Linked DNA regions of Coturnix japonica. The protein of the gene in region 2 purifies or fractionates together with the protein of the main gene of each other region. This does not show direct contact. Links are inferred from orthologs where the notes say so. Each region holds a gene or a part of one and is shown on either strand. Other genes may lie near its edges. The genes, in order: BCAR3 and BCAR1.

Region 1 (10,307 bases), on a different chromosome or scaffold from region 2:
ATCATTCTTGATTCTGGAGGAGAAAAAAATAATAATAATAATAAAATCAGTAAGAATTGAAGACCCATTTTAATGGAAATTAAATATTGTGATTAACAAAAGCACCTGTAAAGGAAACTGTTGATCACAGCCTGAACCTCTGATAAACCACCTGAGACAAGCAACGAGTCAGCTGTGGGAGCATGGGTGAAGGTAATTCAGCTGTGCTCCTGGAAGGGGTGAAGCTTAACTCCACCTCTCCTAGATCTCATTTAAGGACTGACCACTACCAAGGTAGCATCTCCTCCTGGAGATCACTCCTTCGTGAAGTTTTTGTAGTGAGCCTCAACATTGGTGAGCATCCATTTCAACTGAAAGCCTCAGCACTGGTGAGTCTTTTCTTAGATACCCTCTGGCTATTTACTCTGTAATTACAACTATACACTTGTATTATTCCAACTATACAGCACCTAGAACTGAACTGAACTTTGCTTTAACACAGTTATCTCCTTCAAGGCGTAGCCTGTACTATAATCAAGTCACATTCCACTCAACTGCATGTGTCAAACACATGTTTATTAACTTTTATGTACCAACTTTTTTAAAATTTTTTTTTCTTTATATCATCGGAGAACTTGGGCACCAACTTAAAATAATTAACAAAAAGCAAAAGTTTTAAGAGCATTCTGACAAAAAATAAGGGACACAACAGCTTGGTTTGGAAAAGTACATTTCTAAATCCAGTGGATGGCACAGTTAGGAAAAATCTTTCTGGACAGTCTTGCTCAAGTAATAAATCAAGACAAGAACCAGTCACACATTTCTAACTGAAAACGAAAGGGCTCTACTCTAGAGATAATGGCAGGAACAGATTACTGGAATTCTCTTCTGCAGCATGCACAGCCTGCTGGCTCAAATGGTTGTTGACAATAGGGATTTACATAGCTGTCAGTCTCTTTTTCAATCAGTTATAGCCTGCAGTACAGTACAGGTCTTTCTGTTATCATGAGCAAAAAACCTTGTGAGGCAAACACTTCAGACACACTAATGGATCCCGCTTCATCAAAAGGAAAAAACAACAACAAAAGCACACACAACCCCACCTACCTCACACTCACTTCATAGTATTACATTATAGAAGTCGAGATGCTTTGTCCTATCCAGGTATACTAGCCAACTAATGCCATTCTATGGAACAAATGACACAAGGTCAACCAACCCCACGCTATTTGATCCAGGCGGTAGCCAACCAGGTGTCTCCTAGGCAAACTGGAATAACCACAAGAGCAGCACAGACTGATAAACTGAAGGCAAGAAAGATTTTCTGCATTAGCTGACTGAGAGAATCTGTTTTGACTTGGCCTAGTTTCATGTCAGGAAACTAAACAAAACAAAGAGTAGTACCTCAAAGGCCTAGCAGCCTGGAAGACAGCTTCCAGCTACATGAGAATTCCTCTGGTTTTGGGAAATGCACAGGTGTTGCAACAGAATCAGAGCTGGGTCTATAGTCCTGCTCACTCCTCCAGCCTGAGCACCATAGGTACTAAGAAAGTGAGGCTGCATTGATACTATAGTTACTTCTGCTCAATGGTTGCTGTAACAGGCTTGGTTTTACAGTAACACTAAAACTGATCTCAAATTTATTCTATTTTCTTCCAGCTGTGTTGCAAATTCACAGGTTCCCAGAATTCCATCTCAAATTCCATCCCACTTCTCTCATATCAAAAGTCCTACAATAAATAGGATAATATTTGAATATGATGATCATTATGATAAATGATATTTAGGCTATGATTTTTTTAATCTTTAATTTGTCAAGGCTTCCAGCACAGCTGCTATGTACTCTAGCAGAAAAGCCTCTGTAAATGGCAGTTCTGAGTATCTGTTTGACTTTGGTCAGGTTTCTTGCTGCAAAGACTAGAAAAAGAGCTGAGAAGTTAAAATGAAATGTGTATGTTAGTTACATAGATCCAAATAATACTCAAAACTTGAAAGAAAGAAAGCCACACACTCACAAAAGTCCTTAATAAATTTTCCTATGGGCCCTTGTTGTGAAATACTGTTACCTCTTCATTTATCAAGTGCCTTGAAGATATGGTTTCTGATTGTCAGTACTAATAATATTGCATGATCAATTTCAAAATAAAACAAAGTGCTGCAAGGCCTTTGCAAATACAGATATTTGTATTACAAATATTCTAAAAAAAAACAACTGGTCCAGAGATAAGAAGCTCTAAAATGTAAATGTTTACCACAAAGCTACAGTTTCCTAACTAGAACAAACTGACAGAGCTCCTTTCCAGTAAGCTCAGCTTTATTATCATGGAAGAATAATAACATGGATCTCAAGCAACAAGCAGGTAAAACAATTAAAAAAAAAAAAAAAATTAAGCTTCTTAGAAGTCTCACAATCATTTGAAACCTCAACCTTAATAAGGTGTGCTTAATGTAAAAGAGCAAATATCACTTATAAAGGAATGGAAAAATGGAGGCCAAGTCACTTATATTTCAAAATCCGATGCTATTTTCCTTTTTGCGCTGAGATTCTGTACTTAACAATCATATTTTCTTATTGCTTTATTAAAAAACACATTCAAAACTCTGAGGTTTGACTATGTAAGTGTAGATCACCTAATCAGAAGCAATTTGCTTAGGCTTTTCTGCACGCTTCCACTAAGCTGAAATGAAACATATTTCATATCAATTGGTAGTAAAACTGAGTAGGTGTAAGTTTAACCAAAGAAAGCTTCAATTTAACAGCACCAGGTGAGCCGATGCTTACAATGGCAATACACTCTCAACAACTTTTACGGATCCTGTTTGAGGATTCACAAAGAAAGACAATGATTCCCTCTCCTAACCCAATCTCAGGATAATTATAGCAACTCAGTAAGTTTCCAATTCAATATTTACCAAATAAATGATGACCCTCTGAAATACACCATTTTTCTTTTAATTTCTCAGGCTCTCCTTAAAATGGAAAAACCAACCATACTTCTGTCAGTTATGCCCTAATCATTGTACCTCTTATAAAACTCACGCCCTCAGTAACATTCTACATTTCTCATATTCAACACCTAATTCTCAAATTCACATTTTTTATTTATTTTTTTTTACATTTTTTGAGTAATCAAGTTGAAGTTCCCAACCTAAGAAATACAATTAAGAACTTGTAGGACACTTAGCCAAAATTGTGTGTGCACAGAAGCTTTGATATGTCAAGGAATACTCCCCTCAAAAAAGGAAAAAACCAACCCAAAACAAAAGCCTACTTGCTCTTATACTATGTATTCTTAACAAATGGCGACTGAAATTACAGCAACTAACTTGATAAGTCTTGCCAAACTATCCATGTTTTTATTGTACTTAATGTAAGCAATGCAAGGAGGGAAGCTCTTCAGCTGAAGAATCTGAAATGTCTCAAATACTTGAGCATATGATTCAAAGAATGTCTGTCTTTGTTTGACTAGAGATAGGAAGAAAAACTGAAGAGGTTCTAAGAGACACAGCACTTAGAACATCTGCAATCATGCACTCAATAATGGAAATGGTAGAAATAATAGCAGAAGGACAGGCCAAAAGTAACTTAGATGAACAAATTCCTATTTGTCAAAATGTAGCATTTAACCAAACAGAGTGCTTCACGAGTCATGCAGGTTCCCTCTAGCTACATACAGTTTATTTCTTAACAGTAACTGTTAAACAACAACAAAAAAGGCAGTTTTTTGTTGTTTGTTTTTTTAAATGGAGAATGGTATTTCCCTTTTTCAGTCTGTAATTGAGGAACGTATGAGGGAATCGAACTAGATTCTATGTTCAGAAAATTGGAGGGAATTAAGTGTTTCCAGCTAACTTCTAACTTGTCTTTTTGTAACAACTGGGGGAAAGGGGAATACAAATTAAGTTATCTTTAGAATCAACATGGCCCTTACAAAACCTTATGAGATTGCACACAGAATGACATACATATCTGATGGGCAAGATCAAACATGAACAGAGCTCTAACCCAGCAGGATGGGCGCTCTTCACATTGCTCAAAACAAAAAAGAAAAAAAAACAAAAAAGAAAAAAAAAAAGACATGAAGAATAAAACAAACTTTGCTTTCTCCAAAATTACACACAAAAATCCTCTTGGAATGCAAATATATATGCTGCTCTGAAAATAATGCTTCCTATTTATTTTCAAGGACACCACAACAGATACAACAAACACGATAACTATCCTATAAAGAAATTCTCAGCTACGAAACACTATTTTTCAACACAGTCACTACCACTAGCCATGCATTTTTGCTGGTGATGAACAAGAAGCTGCATGCTGTGGTCTGCATCAGTGGAGATGACCCACTGTTGCTGTTGTCACTACTGAAACACACCACCCACTGTCTCATTGTGCTCACATCCATCGCATGGTGTCCATAAACATTCAGTAAGTGGCAATGAATGTCAGTGGATGCCATTTCTTCCACACAGAGTGGAAAAGTTGACACACCTTTGCTTCACGTACACTTCCATATCAGATGCCATTCTGTCTGACCGCCCCCTTGCTGCCATCTGTCCCATGGCAAAAACATGTAATGGAATATTGGTGAGAAACTTCAACCTCTACAACCAACACACGCCTCTGCCACAGTGGGCAAACACAATAAAATAGCAGGCATTGCTGTTAGAGCAGCCCTCATACAAACTTTCTGGTTCAGACTTCATAAAAAAAATTTGGATGCAATTCATAGACTGAAGTGTCACTCAGCTTTGACATGGGTGCAAAAGTAGACAGCCTTTCCATCCCACAAGGAAACAGAACCAGTGCCATTGGCTGCTACCTTGATTTCACACCCTATAGGAGGAAACATGAAGGAAATCTCTAGTTTGGTGTCAGAGATTTATGAATGGCTTAGCCAACAGTCCAAGGCTGTATATGGAAACTGGAAAAGCAATTTCCAAGCTCTGAATCAGACTCAATCAAGCTGTCTTAAAACTCTGAATTATATCCAAACCAGATTTAGATATTAGATCAATACAATTCTGAGAGAAGTACGAATTTTCTAACAGGGAGAACTACCAATACTTCAGACTTTCTGAAGTCTAGACTAGGTGTTATCATATCACCATCAGCCGCTTTGCTCAGTCTTACCACTTCTTTATCATCATGCGCACTACAAAGCTAAGAGGGCAAGAAAATGGTTTAGTATATCCAAATCAAAGAACTGTGTTATGATCTCAGGTCTTTATGAGATGGAGACAACTTTCATAAGAACCCCAGTTAATTCTGACACAGCAGATTTCCTTACAACAGTCTTCTACCTTCCCTCCAACCCTACAAAGCAGTAATAGTAAATACAGACAGATACAGAACTTTAATCTTACTGTTGAGTTACCTGGTATGTTTGCACATGCTACACAGATTTTGTGTTAATTATTTGCTGAGAAGCAATATAGAGTCATCTTCACTAGTATAAAAAGAAACAAGAAAAGACTTTTTCTTCTCCCCAGATGGCTACAATCTATATTTTATGGGTTTTTGTTAAGATAAACTTACGCAGTAGCTGCAATGGGTCACAGGACTTTGAGAAGAATATGAAGGCTCAAGAACTTACGATAAGCAGAAGTAGATTGAGAAAGCATACACAATAGTACAAAGGCTTTAAGCTGCTATCAGAAAACATGCAAGTCTGTCAAACATCAGGAACTCCACACAGGATTAAAGACAGGTCAGTGCTTCCAAAGGGTCCTGGGGAGTTACCAAACTGTTCTCATTCTGAAGCAATAGAAAGCATGTAGGCCAGGACAAGTTATCTCTGAATTTGCTCTGTTTTGAGATTAAACAAAGAGATAAAACCCATGCTTTTCTTTCTGAGTTTTCATACTTAAAATGCCCTTATATATTAAAAAATAATAACAACAATAATAATAAAAAAGCCATAAAAAGCAATCAGTGAAGAGGGATCAATAAACAAGTAGATCTCATCATTTAGCATATGCTATAATCTTATAAGCTTCGGTACCCAACCAGTTAGCTCTGTACTGCTGAAGCCTTAACTTGCAGTGAACATTTTATCTCCATTTAGCTGGATGAAACAGAGTTCACTAAGGTTACAGTCCGATTTAAGTGCTGCTCAGCTAATGCTTCGAAACACAACTTTTGACCCTCCTCTAACATAGGAAGTAATTTATTATTTTCCTGCTGTTGTACTCCCACGATTTTAGTAAAAGAAAATCCTACACTAACTTCAAATTAAATAGTTCAACGTTTTTTTCAGCAGTAAGTATGTGCTTCGTGATTTGGAACAACCACCTTACCTACACTGCAAATTTGGACAGAAAGCAGCGCTTACATACAAGCTCCTCTTTAACCGACCAAAAAAGACGGCGGCAGTATTTCCTTTCTCCCTACGGAACAGCTCGGTACCCCCAGCTCATCGATCTGTCCACCTGCGAGCACCCGCTGCATTTCCAGGGGCGCCGATCCCGCAGGCCGCCGGTTCCCGTACAGCACGCGGCCGGGCCGGGGAGCGGGAGCTCGGGGGCACATAAACTCTCGCACAAACCCTGCTCGTCGTTCTCCAAGCCGAAGGAAAACGCCGTCCCAGCAGCTGCCGGTCTGATCGCTCCCGTTCTGGCTCGGCTTTCCGGAGACCGGCTGCAGCTCCGCTCCCTGCCGGGCGGTCTCCCCCCGGGCCCGCCGGACTGCTGGGGCGAGGGGGCGGCCGGGGCGCCCGCAGTAACCGCCCGGGGCATTCTCGATGGGCCCAGGGTTTCGCCCTGCCGCGGCGGAAGCCGCAGCGAACGCTTGCACCAACTTGCCCCGAAGAAGAGCGGATCGCGATAACTAAAGCAAAGGTGACAACCTCAGCCCTCCGAACTCCTTATCGCTCACCCGTCGGCAAGCACAGACGGCGCCTTATACCCCGGCCGCGGACCTTGGTTCCTGCGTTCCGTGACTGCCGCCCTCACCCCAGCGCACAGCCCGACCCCGGTGCCACTCACCTGCGGGGCTGCGCGGCGCCGCCCGAGCCCGGCCGTGCGGGAGTGAGTCCGGCACAGCGCGGACCGCGGGCGCTGTGAGCAGCACGGGCAGCGGGGGCGCTGAGTTACGACGCCCCGCCCCTCGGTTTGCTGCCGGGACACACAGCCCCGTACACACAGTGACCTCTCGCTGCTCCTTTTTCCTCGGCTTCAAGAACTTGCCTTCCGTAATTTCTGTCCCAAATTAGCACTGCAGAGCTAGAATTAACGGCTTCCCAAATCCGCCCTGCTGACGGACAATTCAAAGAGCATTGCATACATGCCATTCGCCAACTCCTTACATCAGCAGACTTCCCCCTCCTCCCACCACGTTACAAGCAGTTATCTGGGCAACAGGTTGGCGGACAGAACAAAGGCTCAAACATCTGTGAGGGATCGTGCGCTAGCAGACCAGCTGAGAGCAGCAAACTCACCGCCCTCTTTCCTCCGAACCAGAACTGCTGAGCTAGTTCCCTCTTTGCTACCAAGAACAGCACGGTCTGACTCTGCAGCCAAACATCCACCCCGCTCCCCCCTGCGTTTTTAACATCACCTCTGAGATACACACTCAAGCCTTACATCTCCTTTCCCCAGATAATCCCATTTTTTGCCTATTTCAATTCAGCCATGGTCTGTGTACATCTGGCATTCTACCGTTTGCCTCAATCTTCCCTAATATTGCTTCTGGGAGCCCTAATAAAATGCCCGACACAGAAGCAAGGCTATCACACTAACTGCTTTGCCTTGCTGCCCATCACTGTGAGCCAGCCAGCAGGAAATACCCTTAGCTGCCAATACCTTTCATTTTCATTTATGCAATTGGTTGAGCTCTTTACTTTAAAGCCAGAGGCCTTGATAAGCACTAGCTGGGAGTTCATTCTTGGCATTCAGTGGCTGATTACAGTGATTCAGAATAGCTTCTTGAAACACAGGGCTCGTAAGGAAAAAATGCTTCAAAAATAGAAGATACATGTTTAATAATTTTGATGACACTTTCCCTCTTCATCCAACAGTTCAGAAATATCTTAATAGCCAACCTATTGGCATTAACATTTCAGAAGCAAATATTTATCTGCCTAACTAAGCATCTTATTGATTCTGACATTAAATACTTGATTCCCATTGGCTGTACAATTCCTCTGTTTCAGGAGATCTCTTGCACACATTTTCTTCATTTCATTTCTCCTGTTCATGAAAACCAAAACTGGGGCAAAAAAAAAAAACAAAACAAAACCAGAAAGAGAAGTTGAGGGATCTGGATTATACTTCCAATATTGTGAGCCATGTACTTTCTGTATGACCTGTACTTACATTTTTGTAACACATATCACAGTGATAAATATTTTCACAGGAGAGATCTTGCTTCTCCACATGTTCCACAGTTCAGTGAAAAATATCTAACATCACACAAACAATTCAGATCAGTTACCATGTAAGATGGTCTCCACAGAAAACAGTGCTACAACTCCAGGAAACTTTCAGGCACTGCCATTACATAGGAAGTAATGTCGTGGTTTGTTGTCACCTTTTATGAATAAGACTTAGAAAAGAAGTTGCAATTTCCTTAGTAACATGACTGAGTGCTCAGTAATGGAACTGGTAGCTGGGCAGCACTGCATAGACTGTGATTACTCTTGCATGAGTCATTACATCCTTTTCCAAAGAGTTGACTTTGCCTTCAAATCAAAATGAACACTGGCCTTTTCCTTTATGTACAACACTGTACACAATGTGCACATATTTTAAAGAAGATTTATCTGCAACCTGTAAGAATGAAGAATTCATAGTACCACATTACGTTACTGTGAGTTACTACAGTAAACTAGAGAGTTAATTGGAATCAAGCTAGATTAGAGTCCTTGTTGTCATTTTTTGGTGCATTAACACTGTATTAAATCTACTTCAGAAATGGGTTTATTGAGATGTTATTAGAACTCTGGAAGCACTAGTGCCCTGAAGCAACTACAACACCTCTGCCAGCTCTTTCTATCAGTATTCTGACCTGTCATAGCCCTTACTCATCTGTTTATCTACATAACGTCATGTTGTCTGCTCGTCACCTTGCTGCAAAACTTCTAGTGGTGAATCACCGTACTTCACGATATCAGATGGGGGAGGCTAAGAAAACAATGGTGCGCAGAACACTGTTGACCACACATCACATGCAGCTGTGGGCACATATGGTCACCACTGACTTCTGCTTTCAGAAGGAAAGGACTATGTACAGTTGTATATTTTCACCTAATGCAAAGACATCGATACGAACATAAACAAGTAATTGAGGAGGAACAGAACTGACAGCTGAGACAGTCCAAGAACTGTGCTGTTGTAGGTTGTTCACCTTAACTGTGCTAGGAACTGAGTACTTCCTTGAGGTACATGAGGTTCACAAGAGATCGTTTACAGAGTGTGTTTAGCTCACAGTTAGAAAAAGAGATGATGCAGAGATTCACTGGAACTTTTCAGTTTAACCTTAAACATCAGAATTACAGCCCTAAAATAACTGGGAAGAAATCTATCTACTTTAAAAGTGCTGCTGTTCAGCTGAAAAGATAGAACCCAGATTAACTATGTAAGATGAATACAGGGGATGCATAGCTGTTCTTAACTTCTTAATGAACAAAAGCTAAAGCAAGTTTGTACTCTGGACTTGTCTTAGAAGAGAAACAATCCAAACAAGCAAAATGTTACATGCCCTCAACTCCCACAGATGCCACATGGAAAAAATAATGTTCAACATAACTGTTGGTGAGGAAATCAAGAAGTTTTTATAGCTGCCTGCTGCTGAATTCTACGTGCCATGAGTCAGCTAATATCAGACACTCTTAGAAGCAAAAAGAAAAGGAGAGTAAAATACAGCCCTTGTCGGAGAAAATAAAAATTGAAAGATTATCAACTTCAACAACTACCAATTATTAAGTAAACCCATTCTGCACTGAAAAAATAAATGATTGCACATATTCTATGAGAATAACATGTTCAACAGCACCACTTCCAACCTTCAGTTTAGCACTGAAAATTATGTCAAACAACTTGTGTTGGTTTAGATTAGACAGACCAGTTTCAGAAGTCTGAATTATAAAGTTAAAACTGCACTTAAACCACTTGTTGCTGATCACTTTTGGCAAATGACAGTCTGGAAGAAAATATCAGAAAAAAAGCTATATAAGGTTTTATAAGCTCCTTTTTACCACAGGGTCCATTTTCCTTTTTCCTCCTAGTAGTGAACAAGCTATTACTGTCGAGCTAAGACTTCCCTGTGTACTTTTACTTTTTTCATGTTTCTGTAAAATGTCTCAAATAGGAGAGAGCTAACAACACCT
Region 2 (10,295 bases):
GAAAAACCAATGTGCCCAGGCGCTGTGATACTGTGATATGCAATGGAACACACACCCCCCCCCCAGCTTCCTTCCCCTGGCCTCTCCTGTCCTGCCCCCAGGCACAGGTCACTCGTGGGGACAACAGGAAGCAGCACTCCCCCAACGCCTTTCCTGAGCCGCTGTGCTGCAGGGGTCTCAGCACACGTTCCACTCGTCTTGCCTGGTTCAGGTGGCCAGAGCCTCCTCCAAGGGCAGCGCATGGTCCTGGTGGCACCGAGTGGTGCCGCTGAGCTGGGCATGGCAGCAAGGAGCTGACCCACTTCTGTCAGCACAGGGAGGGCTGAGATGTGAGCAGGGTTGCTGCCGGGGACCAACGCAGGGAGCTCAGCTGCTGACACAAATTGGGATGAATGGCAGGGCATGGCAATGCTGATCCTTCCTCAGGGTCGTGCTCGCAGGCAGGAATGAGCCAGACACAGCGGCTCGCGTGCCTTGTGTTGAGCTGGGCCTGAGCACAATGACCTTGTGGTGACAGCCCAGTGTTTGCCACTGCAGAACAAATACGAAACAATTGTGATGATTCAATTACCGCTCCTGTTTTGAATTGCAATTTCGCTCCCTCTGTAGGTTAATTAGTAGCACAGCCCCGACAGCCCCGGGCTGTCCGTGGCAAGGGTTTGCAGCAAAGTGCATTAAAATTCAGCTGCACGGCATAAACAAGCAGCAAGGTGCTTTTTGTGCTCGCTTCCTTCCTTGCAGTGCTTAGTAGATGCCTGGTGCATGGAGCGGGAGGGCAGAGGCAGCCACCCCTTCCCTCTGCCCGTCCCTTTGGGTCCCCGTGTTCCAGCCATAGGTGCTGCTAACACCATCTCTGCCTCTGCTCCCCACAGGTACATCGAGAGGAAGGCGTTCCTGGAGCGCGTGGACCACAGGCAGTTTGAGATTGAGCGTGACATCAGACTGAGCAGGATGAAGCCCTGAGGGCCGGGGATGGCCGTGGGGTCCCACTGGCCCTGTGCCCCTGCCTGGCCACCGGGCACAGAACATATTCTCTACCCAAGCCTGCACATCCCAGCAGGTTTTTCCTTTTACTGTAATGTTTGGAGAGGGTGCTTGTCAGTGGGCAGGGTGTGCTGCAAGGGTCCCATCACCTGGCAGCTCACGGGAGCAGCCCCATGGTGCCGATCCTTTGCCACCGCTGGGTGCTGCCGTGCTTGCACGCTGACCAGAATCCAGCTCTGCTGACATGTGTGGTGGTGAGGGGCTGCAGGAAGGCTTTGTGGCTGCTGCACGTGCACAGGCTGCGGGGCTGGAGCCCTGCTCCCCGCTCTGCCAGCCCTGCAGCCTCCCCTGCCCCTCCTCGCTCTTGCCCAGACAAAGCTGAACTGTCTGCACTTGTCTGCGGGGTCTGACGGTGCTGGGGGTTTTGAAGCAAGCCGATGAAGAAATCCTCCCTTGTTTGCTCCATCGAGAAGCTGAGAGCAGCTGCAGCAGGCAGGCCAGCCCGGGGTCTGTTCACGTGAATAAAGTATTCCATCCTGGTGCTCTGTGTGCTCACAGCCTGGCTGCTCTGGGAAGCAGAGGGGCAGAGAAACTGAGGGTTGCTGTTATAAACGCATGACCATGATTGTGGAAATCACTGCGTGGTTCCTGCGTGCCCATCGTCCTCCCATCTGTCCCCATGGGATGCTGCAGGGCAGGGGCACACACAGCCATCCCCTGCACTGTTCCACACCAGCACCAGCCTCGTCCTTGCTGCTGGCGTTGGCCCTGTGCCTCAGCCCTGAGCCTGGGCTGAGCTCCGGGCTCACATGTCGGCTGCTGAGTCAGCCCTTGTGCTGGGGATGCGCTGAGAATGGACACGAACAAAACACCACGTGCTCAGGGAGCCGCAGCCCTTGTCCGTGTTACACACAGGGTGAGCCCTTATCAACCTGCTTCAACTGAAATGGGATGGCACTAAAGTGGGGCTGCTGGGATGGACATCTGCACCTCCCGACACTTCCAGGCCAGTGGCTTCGTACAGCAGGGAATGGCTGCACTTCTGACCCCCATCCCAGGCCACCCCCATGCTGTCCCGCTGCACTCCGGGCAGGGTGGAGGACAGCGGGTGGTGGCAGCTCCAGTTCCAGCGCAGGACTCAGCTCCGCTGTCCTCTGCCAGCTCTCCCAGCGTCCTGCATGTTTCCTCGCTTGGATCATGTGTTTCTTGCCTCCCTTTCCTGAAGATGAAGAGTGATTTACAGGGCTCCAGAAAACACAGCTTGGCTGCCTAGGAACTGGGGGAGAAAAAACTGGGGGAGGAAAAAAAGGGATAAAGCGTTGGAGAGAAGCCCTCTGTTGGCTATTGGCACCACCTGCCCGCAGAGGGCCTGGCCCACAGCCCCCAACTGCATCCCCTTGAATGGCCGCCGTGTCCCCGTGGGCTGGGAGCAGTTTGGGCACTGCTGAACGGCCCCTTGTGCTCGGCCCCAAACAAGGCTGCCATTGTGTGCGCCTGCCCCACGGCTCCGCTGTGGGGTCCCGTGTGGGATCCATCCCATCCTCCCCATTGTGCGGCTGCAGAGAACGGGAACGTGGCTGTTTTCTCCCCGGACGAGCTGTGGGTCGTGGCAGGACATGGGCAGCCCTTTGGGCTGTATCTGCAGCCTGACAAAACATCTCTGCCCCTGGAAAGGCGAGGGGATAAAGCCCCGTTGTGATCCTGTTGGGTCCCGTGATATTACAAGCCAACGGGAATGTCCTCATTATTTCCCCAATATTGAAGTCTAATAAATCCCCGGCTGCCTTACAGGATTTATTTATCCGTTCATTGCTAGGAGACTCAGTGCCGTGTAATCCTATTGCTGCTGCGGGGGGCGGGAGGCAGCTTTCCCAAGGATGGAGCCGCGAGGAAGCAGCCAAAAGCCAGAAGCCAAAAGCTGTGTGGGTCCGTGTGGGTCCATGTGGGTCCGTGTGGGTCCGTGTGGGTCCATGCGGGGCCTCTGCTCCACCGGGCAGCTTCAGCCCCACGCAGGGCACAGTGCCACCCCTCCCACATGTGATGGTCCCACAGAGCTGTGCCCCACTGTGTGCTGGGCTCACTGACATGTCATGGGATCATTGAATCGCAGAATGGTTCGAGTGGGAAGGATCCTAAAGGCGTCCTGCACTGAGCAGGGACACTCACAGCTCCATCAGTGCTCACAGCCCCATTCTCTGACCTTGGCTGTGTGCAGGGATGGGGCAGCACCAGCTCTGTGTGCAGCCTGTGCCACTGCCTCACCGCCCTGACTGTAAAGAACCTCTAACTTAGCTCCGGTCTGAAGCTCCCTCTGTTAGTTTGAAGCCATTTCTTGTGCCGTCAGTGAGCAGCCCGTCCCCATACACACGGCACACAGCTCCGGGGTCCCGCAGCCTTTAGTTTCCGTTTGGGCACCGACCTCCCGGGGCTGCTGCAGCACGGGGCGCTCCCCCGGGCACGTCCCGGCTGTGTTGCCGCCCGTTGAGGTGCCCGTGCCCGGGGCTGGCCCCGCAATCACCGCCGAGCGGAAGCCGCCGAGTTCCGCCTGCGGTCTGCGGACGATACCGCAGCTCCGCCGGCCCCGAGGGAGCGGACGAACGGCTGCGGGGCGGCATCGCGGGCTCGACGGGCAGCGCCCGACCGGCCTCGTGCCTCCCACGGGCAGGAAGAGCCCTACAAGGGCCGGGGAGCCCCGACGGGCGGCGATAGGACCGCGGCCCCGGCCCCGCGCCCCCCCCCCCCCCCCCCCCCCCCCCCCCCCCCCCCCCCCCCCCCCCCCCCCCCCCCCCCCCCCCCCCCCCCCCCCCCCCCCCCCCCCCCCCCCCCCCCGCTCCCCTCCCCTGCCGGCCCCCAGCGCGGCCCCGCTCCCTCCCGCTCCTCCCGCCGCAGCGCCGCCTCCCGTCGGTGCGTCGCGGCCCATGGGCGGGGCGGGGCGGTCGGGCCCGTGCTGGCACGGCGCTGGAATGATCCCTCCGGCGCGGCCGCCGCCGCCGCCACCGCCATCCCGGTTCCGGCCGCCCGCCGCGGGCCGCGCCTCTCGGACACGCAGTAGCGCCGCTCGTTGAGCGCCGCGGGGCCGCGCCCGCCAGGCGAAGATGAACTACCTGGTGAGCGGGGTCACCTTGCGGGACGGAGCGGGGGGCGGCGGGGGCGGGCGGATGGGGCCGGGCCGGGAGCGGCGGTCGGAGCGGATCCGTGATCAGCCGGGGACCGAGCGCCGGGAGCGGGGCCCGTCGGGTGGGGAAGGGCCGGACGGGGCCTCCGGGACCGAGCGCGGCCGTCACCGACCCGACCCGACCCAGCCCCCTCCGGCCACGGGGTCGGCGCTGCCCGCCCGGTCCGGGCACGGCTCGTCCCGCGGGGGGCGGGGGGCGCTGCCATTGCGGGGCTGCGCAGCGCTGCCGGCACCGCGGGATCCACCCGAGCGCGGCGGCAGGAGGAAGGACAGCGGGGGAGGGAGGGGGCACCGAGCGGGGCAACGCGGCATCACCGGCGGGACGGGCCGGCAGCGGGACGGACACACGGACACGGACACACACACGCGTGTCCCTGTGCCCGCCCGGCGGCCGGGGGGGAATTCTCGGTGCGGGCTGAGTCACCTCCATGGCACTTCCTCCCCGGCGGGAAGGGGAGGGAAAGGCAGAGGAGGTCCCCGACACCGGGAGGCGCGGGGGGTCCGGCCCCGTCCCGGCGCCGGCTCCGGGACGGGTGGGTTGAACCGGGACGAGGAGGAGCAGCGCCGGGGCCGCGTCGGGTGCCGGGCGCCCTTGGTGCCGCCGAGTCCATCCGCGATGAGTCCCGACCCGGCCCGTTGCGGGGCTCTCTTGCAGAACGTGCTGGCCAAAGCGCTGTACGACAATGTGGCCGAGTCCCCGGACGAGCTCTCCTTCCGCAAAGGCGACATCATGACGGTGCTGGAGCGCAACACGCAGGGCCTGGACGGCTGGTGGCTCTGCTCGCTGCACGGCCGGCAGGGCATCGTGCCGGGGAACCGCCTCAAGATCCTGGTGGGGATGTACGACAAGAAGCAGCAGCAGCAGCAGCAGGCGGCCGGGCCGGGGCAGGGCCAGGCACCGCCAGCACCACAGCCCACGTTGCCGTACCACCACCAAGGGGGGTACACGCCGCTGTCGCCCGCCTCGCAGTACACCGCCATGCACCCCTCCTACGCGCCACAAGGGGACAACGTCTACTTGATGCCGGTTCCTGGCAAGGGGCAGCAGGGCCTGTACTCGGGCTCGGCACCCGCTGGACAGTTTCCCCCGGCTCCGGCCAAGCAGCCCCCATCCTACCCCAAGCAAACGCCGCCCCACGGCTTCCCCAGCGCCGGGCAGGACATCTACCAGGTGCCGCCGTCCCTGAGCCAGGCGGTGGACGCTTTCCCTGCGGGCTCTGCCAGCCCCCCCCAGGACATTTACCAGGTCCCTCCCTCGGCTCAGGCTCAAGACATCTACCAAGTGCCCCCATCTTTGGATGCGAGGAGCTGGGAAGGGCCCAAGCCCTCTGGAAAGGTAGGATGGGGGTCCAGGTACGGCGGTGGGTTGATGCTGTGGGGCTCCAGTCTGTTGTGGGGTTATGGAGGGGGGGAGTGAAGCGCTTTTGGCTGAGATGAGCTGCGTTTCCCTGGAAGATCCAGTGGGAAAAAGGGGACACTGAGCACCGTGCCTCGTGGGCAGGGCACCCCATTGATTGCGAGCATCCCACAACCTCCTATGGCTGCCGCACCACATTGCACCGAGATGCGGGTGGGGGTCTGGGCTCGTCCTCCATCGCTGGGTCCCTCGGTGCCACAATTAACCTTCAGGTCTCCATTCTCATCGCACAGGGCGGCCGTGCGGCCGGGCTTTGTCTGTAGCCGAGGCTGGCTGCTATAAATAACCGGTGATCTCATCTCCGTCCCTCCAGCGTCACTGCACGGAGCGGTGACAGCTCCAGGCCGGACGGGGAGCGCCCTCGCGTGGGCACCCACCGCACGGTGCTCCCAGATGGGCTCGGGGGGCAGCAGCGGGGGGTGCGCCAGGCTCAGCCCTGCCCTCTCTCGTAGGTGCTGCTGCCCACCCGCGTGGGGCAGGCGTACGTCTATGACTCCCCCAAGGCTGAGAAGGATGAATACGACTTTCCCCGCCACCTGCTCTCCTCGGGCTCACAGGAGATCTACGATGTGCCACCTGCACGCGGTGCATTACCCAGCCAGGTCAGCAGGGATGTGGGGCTGCATGTGGGGCTGTGGGGTGATGGGCTGCAGGGATGCGGCACCCAGTGCTGGGCTGAGCCGTGGTCTCCACTGTGTGTGTGCTGGGGCCACTCTCCTGCCCCTCACACCATCCCATCTCTTCCCAGCAGGTCTATGACACTCCCCCCATGGCGGTCAAGGGTCCCAATGGGCAGGACCCAGGGCAGGAGATCTACGACGTGCCCCCCAGCGTGGAGAAGAACCTGCACCAAACCGTAAGTGCCGCAGGGGAAGCTCATGCACCAAAAGAGACACGTGAGGGTGGTGGTGCTGCAGGATTGCGCTGTGCACCTCTCCTTCCACGAGCCCACTGCACGCCCAGAGCTGTTCTTATGGGCACAGGGGAGCGGGGCTGGTGTGCATGTGTGTCTCCAGCTGCACTGACACTACGTGGTGGTGCCCTTGCAGGTATATGACGTGCCACCCTCCGTCAGCAAGGACGTGCCAGACGGCCCTGTGCGGGAGGAGACGTACGACGTGCCCCCCGCCTTCTCCAAGCAGAAAGCCTTCGAGCCCCCCCGCCACCCCCCGGTGCTCTCCCAGCAGGATTCCTACCTGCCAGAGGATGTCTACGACGTGCCACCAGCGGCTGGGAAAGCCGCCCCCGAGCCCTCGTTGTCCCACGAGATCTATGACGTGCCTCCCAGCCTCAAGAAGCTGGGGGGGTCGGCCTTCCCCTTGCAGGAGGTGTACGATGTGCCGCGGGACCTGCACGCCCCCAGCAAGGGCTCGATGGACATGGAGGGTGAGTACATCTACGATGTCCCACCACAGGTGGACCGCGAGGCCAAGGCAGCTGACACCAAGCGTCTCTCGGCCTCCAGCACGGGCAGCACCCGCAGCAACATCTCCACCTCCTCACTGGACACTGTGCCCGTAAAGGAGCCGGCCAAAGGAGCCGGCAGGGAGTTCTCCCTGGACTTGGATGCTGCCATGGAGATGCTGGCCAAGCTCCAGCTCGGCGTCAGCGGTGCCGTCTCCAGCCTCATGTCCTTCATCAGCACCAACTGGCGCAGCCCCGAGCACATGGAAGCCAATGCTGCCGGCATCCGCCTGGCAGCCGAGGGTGTTCAAACAGCCCTCAGGGAGCTGCTGGAGTTTGCCCGGGGGGCAGTGGGCAACGCTGCCCAGGCCTCGGACCGCTCACTGTACGCCAAGCTCAGCAAGCAGCTGCAGAAGATGGAGGAGGTCTACCAGGCCCTGGGGCGGCACAGCCAGGCGCTGGATGCATGTCACTGGGCTCCCAGTGCCTTGGTGGCTGGCAAACCGGGCACGGACGACTTGGAGCTGTTCGTCATGTACTCGCGTGGTGTGCCCGATGACACCAAGCAGCTCGCCTCCTTCCTGCATGGCAATGCTTCTCTGCTCTTCAAACGGACAAAGCCAGCGCCAGAGGGCAATGGCCACGGGCCCACGCACCCCTCTGACAAGGCCAGCAGCATCCAGTCACGGCCCCTGCCCTCCCCACCCAAGCTGCTGGCACAGGAGTCCCCCGAGGGTCCCTACGAGAACCACGAGAGCGGCTGGATGGAGGATTATGACTACGTGCACCTCCAGGTGGGTGCGGGCTGGGGGCACCCTGTGGGTGACGTGGGTGGGATTTCTGTCTCCTCATCTGGGTCTTGCTTTTCCCCTCCTGTTATGGCTGTAGGAACTGAGGGCATCCTGGTGCAGGGCTGGGGGGCTCCATCCTGATAGGGCTTGTGGTTTTCCCCCTTCTCACCCTCCTTCCTTTCTTTCAGGGCAAGGAGGAGTTTGAGAAGACGCAGAAGGAGCTGCTGGAGAAAGGCAACATTATCCGGCAGAGCAAGGACCAGTTGGAGCACCAGCAGGTAATGGGGCTGGGGGATAAGCATGGCTCAGTGGGGACCCTGGGGTGGGGAGGGCAGTAGGGTTGGGCTCCTGTTCCCCATTCCCACAGCCGTGAGCTCCCCATGGCTCTGTCCGGCTCTTCTCTGATGCCAGATAGGATCGGGGCGCTGTCCCACGTGGCATCCCCTGGGGTGCAGCCATCGCTGTGGGGCTCGGTGGCCACCCTGCCTGTCCTCACACCCATCTCTCCCCATAGCTGAAGCAGTTTGAGCGGCTGGAGCAGGAGGTGACGCGCCCCATTGACAACGACCTGTCCAACTGGAGCCCTCCCCAGCACTACGGCCCTGTACGGGGCGGTGGTGCCCTGTGTGCCGCCGACCACCAGCTGCTCCTCTTCTACCTGGAGCAGTGCGAGGCCAACCTCACCACGCTCACCAATGCTATTGACGCCTTCTTCACCGCTGTCAGCACCAACCAGCCCCCAAAAATCTTCGTGGCCCACAGCAAGTTCATCATCCTCAGCGCCCACAAGCTCGTCTTCATCGGCGACACACTGTCCCGCCAGGCCAAGGCGCAGGACGTGCGGCACAAGGTGACACACTACAGCAACCTCCTGTGCGAGATGCTCAAGGAGATCGTGGTGAGCACCAAAGCGGCTGCGCTGCACTACCCGTCACCTGCCGCCTCCAAGGACATGGTGGAGCGCGTCAAGGACCTTGCCAACAGCACGCAGCAGTTCAGGAGGGTGCTGGGCCAGCTGGCTGCCATGTGATGGCCCTGTGCTGTTCCCCCTCCCATTGCCCTCTGCCCAGCGTAACAGACCTGTACATAGAGACTCACACAGGGGTGAGGGGCCGCAGCTGTCATCCCCCTCCCCTCTCATCCTCTCGACATTGGTTTCAGAGCCATGCCCGCAGTGCCCAGGGTTGCAATCTCTCCCTTCTGTGCTCGTTCCCCTGCTCCAGTTGAAGTGGGGCTGGCAGTGGGGCTGCTCCAGTGTCCTGGGGTGATGCTGTGGGCTCCATCGGCACATCGGCCATCTGTTGTAGTGTTGTGGCACAGACAGAGCCAGGCAAGCAGCAGCAGTAGGGAGATGAAGAGTGCTGTCCTGAGTGACAAGGGAAGGGGTGAGGGGCAGCCGGGGTGGGAGGAGGGGCTTGAACCTTTGCATTTCAAGTCTTGGTTTTGCTGTACCAACTGTAATTGAAATGCAAACCGACATTGGTGCCTTCTGAACACTGGGGAAGCTTCCTCCTTCCTCACAGTTCCCGGAGCCATGGAGTTGCAGCCGCCCCCAAAACTCAACCCCCTGGTCCCACAGCAGCATAAAGATTTGCCTAGAAATTCCCCTGGCACCTGGCTGTGTGTGTGCGGTGCTGGGATCGGGCGCCCTGTGTGTGCAACTGGGGTGTCCTTTCCCCCAAAAGCAGCGGTGCTGGAGCATGGCTGGGGTGCCACGTGCTTTATGGCAAAGCAATAACATGGGTTTGTTCATAGCATCTTGATGTGGAACAGGATGTGGCACTGGCTGTGGGCACAAGCAGCGGTGAAGATGCAGTGCTGCACAGCCCACAGCCACCCACACTTTGCTGTGCTCCTCACACCTACACCTGGGTTGCAGTGTAACTGCTGTGCAGATGGAGGCAGTGCCAGCACAGCAGGTGCCGTGGTAGCCCTGGGCCGTGGGCACCCAGAGCCCAGCTGTGGGCTCACAGGGCTTGATGCAGTGCCCCAGCATGTATCTGGTGCTCGGGACAGCCCCAACCCTGTGCACCCACCTCCTGCCCAATTCCTATGTGCCACGCCTCGGCTCCCACGGTGATTCCCCAGCCCTGTTCCTGTGTGCCAAAGTGCTGATCACCACCCTCAGCCGAGACACCACTGTGTCCTGCACCATAGGGACCACAGCACCTATGAGGCCCGATCCCACATCCCATACATCCCTGTCCCTACCCAATCCTTGCTCATCTTTTGCCCAAACCTGTCCCACCAGCCCTCCCATCCCTGTCCCATTTCCACCCAGGCCCTCTCTGTGTAACCATCCCCATCCCGAACTCATTCCTATTCCATGCATCCCATTTAGCCCTGTATTATTCCAGAGGTTCCCATGGCTGCCATGCTGCAGTGGGGCATCCACCTGGGGTCGACAATGGGGTGAGGGAACCTGATATGCCCCGGAGTCAGCAGCACTGCCAGCACATGGCAGCCCTGGGGCTGGGAACCCCTGGGACCCCTCACCGACCCCTCATGGGTCCTTCATAGGACC

Evidence for each region.
Region 1: the proteins of BCAR1 (region 2) and BCAR3 purify together in Homo sapiens (co-immunoprecipitation; 4 studies listed by BioGRID and IntAct, counting the BioPlex papers as one, with this or other methods). This does not show direct contact. The link is inferred for Coturnix japonica from reciprocal best matches to the Homo sapiens genes BCAR1 and BCAR3.

Annotation. Positions count from the first base shown.
Region 1 is NC_029523.1:11,959,542-11,969,848, reverse strand, and holds the start of BCAR3 (breast cancer anti-estrogen resistance protein 3), read right to left. Parts: upstream 6,739-10,307; 5' UTR 6,718-6,738; coding exon 6,528-6,717; intron 14-6,527; coding exon 1-13. UniProt on the Homo sapiens protein: Acts as an adapter protein downstream of several growth factor receptors to promote cell proliferation, migration, and redistribution of actin fibers.
Region 2 is NC_029526.1:678,700-688,994, forward strand, and holds BCAR1 (breast cancer anti-estrogen resistance protein 1), read left to right. Parts: upstream 1-4,110; 5' UTR 4,111-4,142; coding exon 4,143-5,495; intron 5,496-6,028; coding exon 6,029-6,178; intron 6,179-6,324; coding exon 6,325-6,432; intron 6,433-6,625; coding exon 6,626-7,774; intron 7,775-7,959; coding exon 7,960-8,049; intron 8,050-8,285; coding exon 8,286-8,801; 3' UTR 8,802-9,377; downstream 9,378-10,295. Other genes in the region: CFDP1 (craniofacial development protein 1), read left to right, coding at 873-963. UniProt on the Homo sapiens protein: Docking protein which plays a central coordinating role for tyrosine kinase-based signaling related to cell adhesion. Implicated in induction of cell migration and cell branching. Involved in the BCAR3-mediated inhibition of TGFB signaling.